Tribolium castaneum: one gene and its partner. Each later gene encodes a partner of the first gene's protein in a complex. Links are inferred from orthologs where the notes say so. Each region holds a gene or a part of one and is shown on either strand. Other genes may lie near its edges. The genes, in order: actin-related protein 2/3 complex subunit 3-B and Arpc4.

What was found.
Region 2: actin-related protein 2/3 complex subunit 3-B (region 1) and Arpc4 share a complex: the UniProt entries of both Caenorhabditis elegans proteins name them as parts of the arp2/3 complex. The link is inferred for Tribolium castaneum from reciprocal best matches to the Caenorhabditis elegans genes arx-5 and arx-6.

What each region holds. Positions count from the first base shown.
Region 1 is NC_087401.1:15,949,768-15,952,463, reverse strand, and holds actin-related protein 2/3 complex subunit 3-B, read left to right. Parts: upstream 1-1,368; 5' UTR 1,369-1,503; coding exon 1,504-1,509; intron 1,510-1,560; coding exon 1,561-1,743; intron 1,744-1,787; coding exon 1,788-2,138; 3' UTR 2,139-2,196; downstream 2,197-2,696. Other genes in the region: GPN-loop GTPase 3, read right to left, coding at 367-1,143, 1,190-1,234. UniProt on the Caenorhabditis elegans protein: Functions as a component of the Arp2/3 complex which is involved in regulation of actin polymerization and together with an activating nucleation-promoting factor (NPF) mediates the formation of branched actin networks.
Region 2 is NC_087401.1:12,843,461-12,846,352, reverse strand, and holds Arpc4 (actin-related protein 2/3 complex subunit 4), read left to right. Parts: upstream 1-1,556; coding exon 1,557-2,063; downstream 2,064-2,892. Other genes in the region: ND-23 (NADH:ubiquinone reductase 23kD subunit), read right to left, coding at 1,122-1,244, 1,336-1,375. UniProt on the Caenorhabditis elegans protein: Functions as actin-binding component of the Arp2/3 complex which is involved in regulation of actin polymerization and together with an activating nucleation-promoting factor (NPF) mediates the formation of branched actin networks.

The DNA of each region.
Region 1 (2,696 bases):
TTCAAGGGCAATTTCGACGTATCCCACACTCTAACTCACCTCCGGAATTGCCGTCACGTAATTAAGTCAGTATTTTTTTGTTTTGTTTGGGGAAACGAAGGAACAAATTCTTTTTCTGTGATAACTCCTACTTACATGACTTAACTACTTCACTTTTCCTACTTTTTGTGCAATTGAACGAATTCGGCGGTTTGTAAATAACTTGTGATTTTTTTAAGTTTAAGTCTCATCCACGTGTACCTTTTTTATCGTATAGGTTGCTTTAAGAGGAATAAAAACCGATAGAAAAGTAGGTTTAGTTTAGTATTTTGTGTTATTGTTTTATATAAAAAAAAGTATAAATTGGAATAAACACTCTAGGGAATTTTATTCGTCGTCCTGTTCCTCGAAATCACGTGTCCTGACGTCCTGATCCTCGCCATACTGTATCACGTTGTCAATGGTCACCAAAATGTCACTCACACTTTCGTGGTTTTTCAAATTGAGGGGGAAAAACCTGACTAGGGAATAATTCTCAATTAAATCCCCTATGGCTTCAGACAATTTTTTGTATTTCTCATTGAAGGCATTCATGCCACTTAACTCAATATCCCCCAGAATGGCATGCGAATCAGGCTCGAGGAACCTATCGAGGCGCTTGCGCGCCCCCTTGCTCAACAAATCCATTTTCGACAACAAATTCACATGAGGCAGCTCTAAATTAACCATGACACTGAGTGCAGCCATGGTGCCCGACAAAAACTTGGCCCCGTCTGTCATAAACTGAACGTCCACCAAAAAAATACTACAAATATTAAAATTCCAGTCTTGTAACAACTTGACTAATTTTTTCATAGCTGTTAAGTGCGTGTATAGTTCGATTTGACCCGGACAGTCAAACAAAATATAATCGTCCTCCTCCTCCCCCAACTTGTCTCGCAACCAGTCGGAGTTCTCCAGCAGGTACTCCAGGCAAAAGACAAGCCCCCCGTTGGGGCCAAAGTGCAACTCTTCGTCCTCCATGGTGTCCTGCACGTGGATTAACTCGCGGATGTCGGCACGTGGCTCGTAGTCGAAGTGTTCGGCCGCTGGGTCCAAATTTACCACTTCTATGGTGCGTTTTGCGTCGACTGCGTGTTGCACCAAAGCCGAACAATACGTCGACTAACAATTAAATTAGCCAAATTGTGCTACAATAACAAATAATTACCTTGCCACTGCCCGCGGGGCCAATAACTAGCTGCGCGTACCGCATTTTTACAAAAAACAAACGCAAAAAATTAGGTTAGGTAACGACCAGTGTTACCACCATGCAATAAGTGAGGTTGTGTTGTGACCCAAAAGTGGCGTTTTTCGCCCAAAACCGGTGTTTTTGTGTGTTTTTTTACCAAAAGTGCGATTTTGTGGGGCTCTTGCCCGTTTAAGTGGGGGTTTTGGGGCCCTAGTGTTCATACATTGTGGCAGTGTTCTGCATTACCGACGTGACTAATCTGGGAGGTTTGGTGAAATTTCTGTGGAAAAACCATGCCGGTGCGTTTGATAGCCCCCTTGTGTGCCGTTTGGTGTGATTTGTGGTTTCAGGCGTACCATTCGGCGTTTTTGGAGCACCAACAATCGGTCGGTAACACTGCCATTTTGCCGTTTAAAACACAATTTCGGGGGCCAGCGCCCCCATTTGGGGGGCAACCCGGCGACCAGGATATCATAGACGAGGCGCTTTATTACTTCAAGGCCAATGTTTTTTTCCGCACTTATGAGATCAAGGTGAGCCCCACTTGTGACAATCGGCACAAAAACGCCCTTTTCAGTCGGAGGCCGACCGTTTGTTGATTTACATCACCCTGTACATTACCGAGTGTCTCAAAAAACTGCAAAGGTGTGCGAACCGCAACCAGGGCCAGAATGAGATGTACACTTTGGCCATTTCCCGGTTTGATATCCCGGGGGATCCAGGGTTTCCCCTGAATTCGGTGTATAGTAAGGCGAAGTCGCCCGCCGATGCTGAGTTCCTGAGGGCGTACTTAACCCAGTTGAGGCAGGAAGTGGGGCTGCGGGTCGTCGATCGGGTCTTTGGGGAGGACGGGAAGCCGAGTAAATGGTGGCTGTGTTTTGCCAAAAAGAAGTTCATGGATAAGTCGCTCTCAGGGCCGGGACAATGAATTTGCCAATTTTTTAATTATTTGATTCTGTATTGTATTAATAAACCATTTTTTTTTATTGTTGTGTTTGGTTTGTTTTCACGCGGTTTGTGAATGATATGTGATACATTATCGCATGGAACGCCCATACAGACCTTTAATCCGGATGCCGTTCGGGGGACACAACAATCTTGAAATTCAGTGATAAGAGGCTCATTAAAGCAGAGGCGCCTCGCGAAAGTCGCTGATTTTTTTTTAATTTTTTTCGCTTTCTCTTTAATTAATTACACAATTTTTCGGCTCAAAAACGACCGAAATTATTCTAAATAGGCAAAAAACGTTAATTTTTCTTAAGTTTTGTACAAAAAGACTTCTCAATAAAAAAAAATCGAGTGATGTCTAAGGACTAATACAACGGTTGTCTAAAGGTTAGGAGACGGAACGACGTACAAATAAAACGTTCCCATCTTCGTTAGTTCCGTTAAAGACGCTAGAGAGCGCAGTTGTTCCATTACCCAAGTTCCTTACACTGTCATTTTAGACATAACTCAGATTTATTAGCTTATTTTTTAAGAAATT
Region 2 (2,892 bases), about 3.1 Mb from region 1:
TTAATAATACTTATCCACTTAATTTAGTCAAGAAAATTTTATTATAATGATAATAATGACCAACCAAATATGTTAAATAGTAATAATTCCTAAATTAATCTTCTATAAAACAAAAAAAAAACATTAAATCAAGTAAAACTAGAATCAAAAGTTTACTGAAAAACTTAGTAAAATTGACAAATTCCTTATTATGAAAAAGTAATAACATTATATAATTATGGTCAACATATTTTTAACATGTTTTGTCTTGATGTTTAACAGTTTTGTGACTAGGATATTAATTATAAGTTATAACTTATAACCTTTTTAACCTTAATCGTACCTAATTGCCATGTCAGTATTTTGATTTTTTATTAATAATTGTAAGTAAAGTATCAATATATAACAAATGTTCATTACAAAAAAAAAACTAGAGTGCTGTGAAATTAAAAAATAATTGTTTTGTGATTAATTCATTCTCCCATAAACTTACTTTTTGGAAATTAAAAATATAACAGATGTTCATAAAAGTTAATATTATTCATAAAAAATGTCGGAAATGTCTTTTTTGTTGTTCAAAACATAACACATAGCCTTTGAAGACTATTTATGAATCTTGGGTTATAAATTCTATTGAGCTGGTTTAGTAGGCAACCAACAATATAATGGAAAAATTGTACTACGACATCCGTAAAAATGTCAAGGCAGAAAGATAACAGAGTTAGTAATTAATTGCTGTTATATTGTTTTTTTTTTTTTATTTTTTAGCCTAATGATGTTTATTATATAAACGAAACGTTGCAACTCGTTGATTTATTTAAAACTTTTTAAGGAAAAAATTTCAAATTTTGCGTTCACGCGTTCAGAGATCTCAGTACAGTTTATCCTTAATACCAAGCATCTCTGCTTAGCATTTATAATATTTTATTTAAAAGATGACTATTATTTACCTAGCAGTTTATTATTATCAAAAATCAAAACGCCTGTGAATTATGCAACCAACAATACAAACGCCACTAGTCCACTACTACTAAAAACTTATTTAATGTCGAAAAACGAACATTATGACTACAATACCGAAAACAATTCAATACCAAACATCCAAAAATTATGTTTTTCCCCCCAATTAAAGTTTCACTTACCGGTTACTTCGTTCAAACTCATGCCAGGCTCGCCCGGATTTACGTTGATGTAGTCGCCTTTCGACGTGCTTTTTAAGCGGTTTTGCCCACATGCTCGCAGGAAAATCGAGGGGCGACCTGAGACTGTTATGAAACCAAATTGAGGTTATGTCGTTCGACACAAAAAAACCGAACGCAAAACAACGAAAACACAAACCCGGCAGTAGCTACGTACCTGATCTACTCAGACTGTACAATTTAAGGGCCCCGGACATGTTTTTGATTGTTTTTTTCGAAATTAAAGCAACTTTTTTGACATTACGCACCTTACGTCAATGTCAAAATCGCTGCGCCATCTGGCGGATAATAATTTGTGTTGACAAATTGACAATTGTATGTCAGAGAGGTGTGGTGTTATCACTGTTATCAGTCGTAATTTTGCTCAAAAAAGCGGTAATGTCGGCGACGCTACGGCCCTACTTAACGGCGGTGCGGCACACCTTAACGGCCGCCATGTGCCTGGAGAACTTCTCCTCCCAGGTGGTGGAAAGGCACAACAAGCCGGAGGTTGAGGTTAGGTCCAGTAAGGAGCTGCTGTTGACTCCCGTCGTGATCTCGCGCAACGAGAAGGAAAAGGTGTTCATAGAGACGTCAGTGAACTCGGTCCGTATCAGTATAGCCGTGAAACAAGCGGACGAAATCGAGAAAATCCTCTGCAAGAAGTTCATGCGGTTTATGATGATGAGGGCGGAGAATTTCGTGGTTTTGCGGCGGAAGCCCATCGAGGGCTACGATATTAGCTTCCTGATTACGAATTTCCACACGGAGCAGATGTACAAACATAAGTTGGTCGATTTTGTGATTCATTTCATGGAGGAAATTGATAAAGAAGTGTCGGAAATGAAGTTGGCGGTGAATGCGAGGGCTCGAATAGTTTCGGAGGAGTTTTTGAAGAGGTTTTGAGGAGAGCGAGAGTGGACATGTGTACATAAGTTCTAGGTTTATCCAGCAGGAAGATTTATTTATTCCTAATTTCAAATACGAATTCTATTTTTACTTATTATATTGTTTCGCCAATAAATCGATCATTTTATTAAGAAAAATGTTTTTTTGTTGTTTGGACCACTGGGTCACTGGTACTACCAACCTCGAACACGAAAAACACCAAAGCCAATTTGGGGGCATTTCAGATAAAGCGTCCAATTAAGCAATAAATAATAAAATATATAAAATGAAGCTTTATATACTTATGAAAAATTCACTGTTCTTTTTAACTCTGAAATCGGATTCAAAATTTGATTTTTTAGTGTAGAAAGCCGGAAGTGAAATTTCAAATCAGAATTTCAGTAACTTGGACTTTTTTTTCAAAAAAAATAGCTGAAAGTAAATAGATTAAACACATAAGTGGCAAAATAGGATCTCTATTCCTTTAGGAGTACGTAATGTTCACAAAAGCGCGTTATTTCTCGCGAAAACCGTCCGATCACGTACAGTCGAACAAAGTGAAAATGACGCCTTAATCAATACACCAGTCCCTACTGTAGATGCAAACTTGACGTAGTTTTAAGATAAATTTTCTTAGAAGCCGGTTTATAAAAAGCGAAATAAAAATTTAATTCATACGATTTTTTCACCTAAATGTAATAGAAAATTTGAAATTTTCTTAGAATTCAGCGGAATTCCAGGTGGTTTGACCGACATTTAGAAAATAATCAAACAAAAGTTTTTTGTTCAGACTAATAGGATGTGATTTTTATATTTTTATTGGTTAATTACTCATTCCTGGGACAAA